Coturnix japonica: one gene and its partner. The protein of the gene in region 2 binds, or shares a complex with, the protein of the main gene of each other region. Links are inferred from orthologs where the notes say so. Each region holds a gene or a part of one and is shown on either strand. Other genes may lie near its edges.

Evidence for each region. Proteins that work in one complex are often made in the same cells at the same time.
Region 1: the proteins of AAGAB (region 2) and AP1S3 are in contact, whole or in part, in a crystal structure (PDB 9DDT), measured with the Homo sapiens proteins. The link is inferred for Coturnix japonica from reciprocal best matches to the Homo sapiens genes AAGAB and AP1S3. Residues at the interface, in NP_078942.3 of Homo sapiens: Asn51, Lys52, Tyr53, Tyr54, Glu108, Val109, Met110, Ile111, Gln128, Ile132, Gly135, Phe136, Glu137, Asp151, Phe153, Pro154, Glu155, Arg161, Gln164, Ala165, Asn167, Ala168, Asn169, Val170, Met176; in NP_001034658.1 of Homo sapiens: Arg10, Gln11, Lys13, Arg15, Gln37, Leu40, Ser41, Arg61, Tyr62, Ala63, Ser64, His85, Val88, Asp92, Phe95, Val98, Glu100, Leu101, Asp102, Ile104, Phe105, Asn106.

What each region holds. Positions count from the first base shown.
Region 1 is NC_029524.1:6,846,257-6,850,976, forward strand, and holds the start of AP1S3 (AP-1 complex subunit sigma-3), read right to left. Parts: upstream 3,169-4,720; 5' UTR 2,977-3,168; coding exon 2,929-2,976; intron 1-2,928. UniProt on the Homo sapiens protein: Subunit of clathrin-associated adaptor protein complex 1 that plays a role in protein sorting in the late-Golgi/trans-Golgi network (TGN) and/or endosomes.
Region 2 is NC_029525.1:17,110,622-17,115,577, reverse strand, and holds the start of AAGAB (alpha- and gamma-adaptin-binding protein p34), read left to right. Parts: upstream 1-1,624; 5' UTR 1,625-1,659; coding exon 1,660-1,732; intron 1,733-1,932; exon of another isoform or gene 1,933-2,036; coding exon of another isoform or gene 2,037-2,043; intron 2,044-2,128; coding exon of another isoform or gene 2,129-2,209; exon of another isoform or gene 2,210-4,652; coding exon 4,653-4,843; intron 4,844-4,956. Other genes in the region: IQCH (IQ domain-containing protein H), read right to left, coding at 591-705, 994-1,091, 2,129-2,209. UniProt on the Homo sapiens protein: May be involved in endocytic recycling of growth factor receptors such as EGFR.

The DNA of each region.
Region 1 (4,720 bases), on a different chromosome or scaffold from region 2:
CACATTAAATACTGCACAATCTTAGCTTTAACATTTAAAACACAAAGTCTCTCTGATGTAAGCAAGTAGGAAAAGGAAAACAAGTAAGAAAGCAGCGATGTAAGAATACCCAAGCAGTGCATTGTTGCCCTGCAGGAACAGAACTCCTTCCAGCTTAATCTTCATTAGGAGTATTTCTGCACAATTTCCTCTAAACAATACATCCAAAGTCCGTGCAATAAAACCTGTGCCGGATCATTACAGGCACACGTGACCATATTTACACACTGATTTTATTCTTCTCAAGATGTAGTCAACACTATTTTATTACTGAAGAGTTTCAACCAACCAGCATGCCAGCACCAAGAGGATAGGCACTCCATGTAGTACTGATCCAGCCAACTGAGCCCTCATCCCAGTTAAATAAACCTAGAACTGAAACAGAGTAGCTGAACTCAAGCTCTGAGCCAAAACCACTCCTGACCCAAACCAAGGATGGGAAAACAGTGTTCAAAGCAGTATCTCACCCCAAAGCATTGGAGTGCTTGCGCTTGCCCTGAAAGCAACAGAACCTGCTAACCCTGAAGGGGTGATGGTGATTAGAGCAGTTATAAACTGCAGTCACATTGCTGGTCAAGAAAGCCTGGGTGAGGGTGAGATGCTCTGAGCAGATGGGGCAGGAGGCCTCACCTGCTGCTGGGAGCACTGCCCCAGTGACCCGACTCAGCAGAAAGCAGGGCAGTGCCAAGGCTGTGGTTTGCGGGGGTGATCAAATTCCTTTCATTGCAAGATGATTCATCTCAGCCCCTATGTGTTTTACAGGCACAGAAAATAAAAAAATAAATAATCCCAGTCTGGTTCTCAAACACCTGGTAAAGAAACACAGCTAAAATCTAACCCACTGGACTCTGGCAAAAGGTGCGGCCTCTGTTACTCCCATTTCCACTCCGTCTTATCAGTTATTTGCAGAGCTCTGCTGTGCACACCATAGTGCTCTTCCCTTACCTCTGACCTCTCAGGAGCAAAGGAGGAAGGCTGTGTCCTGGAGCAGGGCACACAACAGGTAGAGGCATTTTCAGTAGAGACATGCTCCATCTTCTACTTTAGTCTTCCACAGAGACTTCCAGCTTCTCAGCCTGGGAGCCCTCAGGTCTGAGCATTTCATTGTAGGTCATGCAGCCACTCCCATGGCATTTCTAAAGCTCTGAGCAGACAACCCAGACACTCTCTTTTCCATTACCTATTTCCTTGTGCCTCATGTCTATTGCGTGCCTCAGGGGACCAAGCAGAAGGTGATGACCATGCAGGAATCCCTGCACTGGCGGACAGAAACCACAGGCCTCTGAGCAAATCTATCTGCAAGCAGCAAGGCAACCACATTTACTGGATGCTGCAGAAGGCTTTTAATGACCTCTCTCTTCTCCTTAGGCCTGGATAGAAAATAGCACAGACACCTTTCACAAACCCAGTAAGCCAGGGAAGAAAAAAGACTGCTGCACAGAGCACCCTCTGTTACATCTGTCACATTGAGAAGCATAAATCCAGGACACATTAGACCAGAAATACATGTCCGGCCAGAAAGACTCATCATTCTTGCCTTCAAACACACCGATGTAAATTTTAGTTCCCAGTTGTAGCCCACTGACTCCACATACTATATTCCTACTTGCAAATGAAACACCATTTGTGCACGACTGGATCATACGCTGCTTTAAACTGCAATGTCTGCAAATATAAAAAGAACCAAGGCTGGCCGCTCAAGAGAGCTCCACACAAAGCAAAGGCAGATGACAGCCTGCTGGAATAGGACAGCAGGGAAACAAATGGGAAGGAAGCTTAATTAGTAGATGTGCATGGGTGATATAGAAAGAATTATTTTTACAGCAGCAGTATCATTTTAATTTAGGCATCGCTGCAAAGAATACAACTGGCTTGCATAAATGCCTGATGTACGTGCCAAATGCTGAAGCATAAATCCTCCAAGCACTGCAACAAGAGCTGCTCTATCTGCCCTCCTCAGCCCATTGGTTTCCTCTGTACCTCCATCATTCTGCACTTTTGCATAAATCTGACGCCTTCAGCACATCCACAGCATGGTTTGTAAAGCACAACATTCTTGAGTGATTAGAGGAAAGATACAGAAAAGCTGCAAAGGCTCAAACATTTTCACATGGTCCATTTGCTAAGCATACTACCCAGAGACTCTAGAGAGTGAATCACGATTACTGCAAAGACAGTGAGTCCAGAAAAGTGATACTCTGTAATGAGTGAGTATATGAGAGAGAAGATCCAAAACTAAAGAGGATCACAGCAACAGCCAGCGACAACCTGCATGAAACAAATACTCCCTTTTCTTTACATTTAATATCTAGAAACCTCACAAATTGTATCCTTACTTGTCTGTTAGGAGGCATTCCTTACAGCATTCATTATTTCATACATTTCTGTCCTTTCTCCTACAGAATCAACTTCCAAGTCTCCATCCATTAGGATCTTCTCCAGTGAAAGCTACTCCATTACCATTGCCCATTCCCATACGTATTGTTCACTGCATGACAAACAAACATCACACTTTACCCCCCACACACACTACGTGTAACACTGCCTCCAACAACCAGATTTGTTTATTTGTGGTTTTCTCTTCTTCTCCCATCTATTTTTATCTGCTGCCCTTCACATCCTTCCAAGTTAAACTCCTAGAGGTGAGGTTCATTGCCTCTGCTAGGTGATACACAGTTGTGTCACTGAGGGGGGGTGGAACAGGCAAGTTTTAGAGCACGTTCTTCTTCAAATCACTGACAGTAAGTTCTGCACAACACTAAAAATATCTTTTACAGACCTGTGTTTATTTTAGCAGTCAAGGGCACTGAGACTATTGGGAAAGTCAATATTCGGAAAAGACGAGAGTTCATTGACAAACACCAGGCAGGTGTCAGCACCTGCACTCACCTCAACCAACACTTCCAGCCAGGTTTCTAGATCTGTGACGAGTATCATATGCCTTGCTACATGGAAACACCACCTGCCAACTCCTTCCCAAGCACGCCAAGTATGTCTTTAGGGCCTCCTGTTTGCCAGGAGCTTCTATTGATCTTTCTCCAGGGCTTCAGGTCATGCCAACAGGTACTGACGCTTTGCACTGTACTGATGAGCAGAAGAAGCAGGAGGGAAGCAGAACCTTTTACTCTGCAGGCACCAGTTCTGCACTCAGAGCTGTGCAAACAGAGAACTTGATAATACTGATAATGGTGAGGTGGCTGTGGGATGGTGGTATTGCAACACTTACGGGCATGAAAGATTGCAGCAACACGTGTCCCTGGGGAAAGAAATCATTTTCTCTGTCCAATCCCGGCTTTCACTTTCTGATCTGTTGAGACAGCAACCCTTCCGGCCAAGTTTCACTGCTGCACCCATATGTCAGAGAGCAGAAAGCAGTCTGTATTCTAAAAATCCTTTGTTCTGCACGTCACAAGGCAGCAGCTGGGCAGTAATGCAGCCATTCTCAGCAGGACACAACGCTTGTCTGATGAGCTCCCCTGAAACCAGCCTGGAAATCTGCAGCACAGCAAACAACGGCAACAACCCCCCCTGCTGAGACACAGTACCATTTGCAGGAGTACCTTCCATTCCAGTCTCCAAGCATTTAACACTGGCGGCAAGCACAACCCCCTCACGCTAAACAGGAAAAACTGAGCTAAGGAGAGCTTTTATCTAAAAGTTCTTCAGTTGTGAGCCTGAATAAGGTTTATTCTTAGTCTGTAACTCAATAATCCTTAATTCCTGATGAGCAACTCAACACAACAACCCTTCCTGGAGGACAGGCAGAGGAATTTTAAGCACGAGTACCCTGACAAAAGCGCCCTTTCATCGGCACCGGGTCTACAACAGGAGGGCAGGGTAAGGCTGACAGCACTGCCTGCTGTAACCATGCCAGCAAGCGTTCGGGCTGCGAGCTCAGCAAAGGAATAAGAATACACACTCACTTTACGAAATTACAGTCATCAAACAGCAGACAGACCTGCTAATAAGTAGCACCATTGTGAGCACCACTCCCTCGGGACTATGGTGAGTGCTTTGAGAACTGGCGTTTGTTTAGTGCATGCACCAGGGAGAAGAGGCCTGAGATCAGCTTCCCCGAAATCACCTCCCATATTTACTGACCTTAAAGGGCACAGTATGAACTCCGGTTATTTACATAAGCGTTACACCAGGGAAATGGATACAGAGAGCTGTGTCGAGAGGTAACCAGAAAGGTAGCATATATGTGTGTGTATATATTGGGATGTGCGGTATGGAGATTGCACTGCCATCTGTAAACTCATTACTGCACTGATTTTACATGCAGATTTGAACGGCAGGCACATCCTTCCCAACACACAAAATTAGACTAACACACGAGGAGGTGTATTCTGACTAAACCACTGCAAAGAAAACAACACAGCTGCGTTTGTGAGGATAGAGACACACGTCAAAATTCAGCCTGCGATGAAAGCACTGTGACTCGGTGCAGGTGCACTGCCGTCATTGAGAGCACAGATGTGCACAGCAGGCAAACTGTGCACTGCAGGAGCTCCGGGCATCTCACAGAACCTGCCCCAGGCCTGATCATCACTGCGAGATGGTTTCTCAATTACGGGGCATCGCTGACTAGCTCCAAAGCCCACAGTCTTCCTTGGGTTGTCCAGCCATTATTCTAGGGACACTGGCCATCGTGTTTAACAAAAGATAATAACCACACAAC
Region 2 (4,956 bases):
AAGCAGGTAATATTGAATTATTACTTCACAGGGAGGCTTCTTTTACAAAGAAAATCACAACAGGAGTGGCAGGCTGCTCATTCTGGCCATGCAATTCCATGTCAATCCTAGTAACTGAATGCCATTCCTACAGCCCCGTGTCTCTCTTACACAAAGCCAAACCAGAGAACCAGTTTTATTCTCACACAACACCAACTCATGCTATTCCACTATACAGTCCCCGTTATTTCAAAGGCATCGCTTGCAGAATAGCAGCTATGCATTCGGTATTTGTTGACCTGGGACCTTACAACAGAATAAACATCTGGTTTCAGGATTCTTTATCATTATACATGGGAAACAAATGGATCACAATGATACTGAAGTCCTTCCTAGCCTTGATGTTACCCAGAAGCAGGGAGAAGGCTCCTGCCCCTCAGCTCCCTCATTCTACTCAGTGAGTAACACACTCATTCACCAGATGGTGTATCAACAAACACTGAACTCACAGAGCCAGGACATAAATTCATGGTGTCAACCAGTACCAACAAGATGCCAGTCCACCCATTTAATGCGGTCTCTGGGAAAACAAGTGATGTGTTATTTCAGACCTGTGAACCTGGAGAAAGGCGCAGTGCTGCTCTGCTGCATGGCTGGGCAGTCGTGGGCTCAACAGGCACCGGTGGTAGAACCAGCTGCTTCTCAGAGGCACCACATTGAAGCCCCCTGAGTCAGAAAGAAACAAGCAGTGAGGTTTGCAAAACTTACCATGGTATCACCTATTAAATGCACATCGCTCCCATCTGGTTGCATGGTAAAAAACTGCATTCTTGTTTAAACCCATGTGAAGCCAAAAATCGCAAGTGCTAACAGCAGGTTGCTGCAGCTGCTTAGGACAACATTTACCTTTGTATTGCTTTTAACCTATACAGAACCCCAAATAACCCAATTGGGACCAACGTTCCCCATTTGCCTCACAAGATCCTCGTGCTGCAGTCTCTCTGTTTCACTCACCATTCAAGGGGCTGTTTGGAACGTACTTCTTCACTGCCAGCAGCAGAAATAGTTAATAATTCTCTGTTTGGAGCACTTGAACAGCTCTCAGCGTGTTTCTGCCAGAGGAGAAAAAAAAGAGGAATCAATTATAAACGTATGAAGGACACACTAAGTTAAACTCCATCTTCCCTTGACTGAGAAGTAGTGCTTCTGTTGGGCTCAACCTGGATTTGTCCAGAGTTAAGGAAACCACCCACAGCCCAGCACCCACCCACATCTCAGCACCCACTTGTAACAGCCCAGCACCCACCCACAGCCCAGCACCCACCCGTAACATCTCAGCACCCACCCTCAGCCCGGCTATTACCCGCTGTCCGTGTCCCTCAGTGCCGTCCATCCCCTCATCCCGCCCCCATGGCAACACGACGCTCGGACCGGGCCGCACCACCCGCCTCACCGCGGGGGGAAGGCGGGGAGAAGCGGGCGGTGCGGCCGGTCGTTCTGTCGGTGCCAAGCGCTGCTCCCGCTCCCTGCCCCGTTGCCGATCCTCTCTCCTCTCACCGTGTCCCCTGTCCCCTTAGCAGCTCTCAGCCGTCACTCCCCACTCTCCTCTCCGCTCTCCGTCCCTCCCGCCCCGCTCTGTGGTAGCGGCGGGCGGAAGGGGCGCGTAGTGCGGCGGGCGCCATGGCGGCGGCGGGGCCTTACGCGCTGCTCAGCAGCTGTGATGGCGGCTTCGCGGCCGAGGAGCTCGTCAGGCGTGAGTGGGCGGCGGGTCGTGCCGTGGGGCTGCCCCGTAACGATGTAACCGGTGGTGGGAGATGTGGGTCGGCTGATGTTACGTTCTGTGCGCCGGTAACGGCCCCACAGCGGCAGGAGGGAGGGAGGGAAGGCAGGAGCAGGGACGCGGCTTCCATTTGTACGGCCTGAGATTGCGAGGAAAATCCGGTAGAGGAAACTTGAAGCGTTCGGTAGCGCCAACATGAGGGAGGGTCCGGGGAGAAGCTGTTCGGATCGCGGTGGTTTTGCTCTTATGGCTGTTTAGAGCTGTGACGGATCACTGGATGTGTGGTAAGATGGATGGTCAGTTTGGACCTGAGATGCCATTCAGACCCAGCTGTACCTCAGAATCTATAACATGAAACAAATAACGTACCTTTGTCATTGCTGCTTTCACCACCGTGCTCCTGGATTTCCTTGTATAGGCACTTGCAGTGGGCAGAGCTGTTTGATACATACAGGGCAGCTGCTCGGAGGATTCTCTGCTGGAAGTCTGTAAAACCTGCACCCTGCTGCTTCCAGGCTGATTGCGAGGCTCCTCACAGCCCGCACGAGGAGTTCGCTGTAGTTTGGAGGAGTATTTCTTATGTTGTGTTCCACCAGGTGGCTCTCAAGGCACAGAATGGGAGCGATGTGGTACCCACCAGCTGGCAGGACGGGGAGCACTCGGCCATAGGAGAACACTGAGCTGGGCTCCTGTGTGCATTCAATCCAAAGCAAGCTAGAAGAGCAATCAGTACTTAAATCTCTTTGGAAAAAGATGAGAAATTGCAAGGGTTCTGCAGTTCTGCATTGTCCTCTCCCTTGTAAATTAAATCACTGCTTGGAAGACCAAGTCTGTATGTGAGGCCATGAAATGAGAAGTGTGAGTCCAGAGCCTGGGGTGACTCACCCCACCCAGGGAAGCACCTGCTGCTCCAAACAGCTTTTAAACACAATGTGGGACACAGCTGTGCTCCGTCCTAATTAGCATTCAGCAGTTACTGGTGGGATGGTGGAAGTTTCAATAGGTGATGCCAGTGAAATAAAGGTCCAGCATTAGTTGTTCAAGATCCTCTACGAAATACTTCAGTTTTAAATCACGGCTTTGGATGACGTGAAGCCGCATTCTTTTGCAATACAAGCTCTTCCGTGCATGCTTTTAGTTCCTTAATACCGATGCAGCTGGATCCTGCCTGCATTCCTGTTGGCTGAGGAAGCTGTTTGTGCTCCATGGAGGAGTGAGCTGATGGGGCAGCCCCATGGGCCCAGCTGCGCTGCTGTCAGTGTCTGCTGTGCTTTTCCAGGCCCTTTGGATGGCAAAACGCTGCTGCTTGCAACGGCTGGGAAGCCTGAAATGAAAACAGAGTAACTCAGTGGAGATAAGTTTGACAAGCCACCTCCCTTTGCCATATTAGTTTTCTGGAAGTTTATTCCATATCCAAATAAAACATAATAGAGCTTATTCTGACGAATGTTCTCTAAAATTAGATGGGAAACTATTCTGGCTGCATTTACTTTTTTCCATTGAAGCGGAGGCCGCGTTGAGAAGAAACTCCTGGAATCCCAGCACAGCAAATATGATCTTAGGATTCATTCTAGCATGAAACATGTCCCTATGAACTCAGCCTGGGCTGCAAGGTGTGGGATGTGGAAGTCTCCAGAGCCCCATTGGCCCTGATACCCACTGACAATCAACTCCTGGCCTAGCAGCAGTTGGCACATAGTGGATACAATCCTGCTTACCAAAGGTACCAAACTATATTATGCAGAGTATGGCACTTAATTGGCTCATGTCAAAGTGCCTCTATTGCACTGCACATTAAAGCTGTGCACTTTGTAAGGTGCTGTGCCATCATGTTCTGCTGAGATCACATTGCCCCTCAGATCCACAAATCCACCTGGTTCTGAGCTCTCCTTTGTGCTGCCTCATGTGCCAGAGCTCAGGCACTGCTCAGTCTGCCCAGGCTCAGCAGTTAGCTGCCAAAATAACAGTAATAACAACAATAAACACTGAACCTGTGATAGCTCTGGCAGCAGGCTTTACTGCCTTTAGCTGGTAAGACTCAGATCATTCCAGTTCAGACTATCTGGGGGGCAGCATCTTCAGGAATTGTCTCAGTACCTTTAAGGTGCAACCCTTAAAATGTTTGGAAACACCTTTTTTTTCCCCTTTAAACACCTCTGATCCCAGCTGACTTCAGTGATTATATGATTTACTTATGAGATACCCGTGACTCTGTTCATCTGGAACAAGATGTTCTGTCCTTTCCAGCAAGGTACAGATGGGTTGCTCTGCTGCTACCAATAATTCAGCTCCACCAGGTGGCCGTCACGCTACGAGAGTGTTCTGCAAAGGTTGCTGCCAGCACACGAGGGGCAGGCAGTGCAGAGACTGCATTATCCAAGCACTGCCCTGGATTTTAATTGTTGAACTCCTACCTGGAATTTAATGGGCATTACAACTGAATTCCAGTAACTCGCTTTATTTTCTCATTAGTTACCTTGAGATTCTGGTCACAGTCAAACAGGCTTTTTTACATCTGAATGAACATGCAGGGTTTGCTGGAATGAAGTGTAGTTATTTGCTCCATCCATCCTGCTTGTGGGTAATGAGTTTGGGGCTCGCACTTGAAAAGATGTCTCAAGGAGAAAACAACAAAACGCACCTTACTTGAAAACAGCTTCTGTACCACATTTCTTTCTGAAAGCTAGAACCCATTTGGGAGTCATAAATAACATGGTAAAAGAAATGGAGTTTGATTTATATATATATATTTTAAATAGAAAGCAGCTAATTTTGTTGCAGCAAGGGAAGATGGCTCTGTATTGGCATCATACCAAGCTCTGGTACAATTTCCTGTTGAATTTTTCTTGATGCTGGTTTGTTTCACTTATCTCACTCAATTCTTTTTCTACAGGCATCACAGGAAGAGAGGACCTCACTGTGGGTGCTACAACAACTGGAGGAGTGAGCTTCTACCCCTGGACGATAGATAATAAGTATTACTCGGCAGATATTCACCTCTGTGTGGTGCCCAACACAGCTCTGGTTACAGGAGCAATTGCTGAATCCGTGCAGGCGTTTGTGGTGTACTTCGACAGCTCAATAGTAAGACTTCTGCACTGTGTTGCCTTATCTGTAAGATATAGTTGCCTTATTGCGATAACTACGTTTGCATTCTCTCAGTCTTGTGACCCCCATTCCTTTTAGGCTGTCCTGTT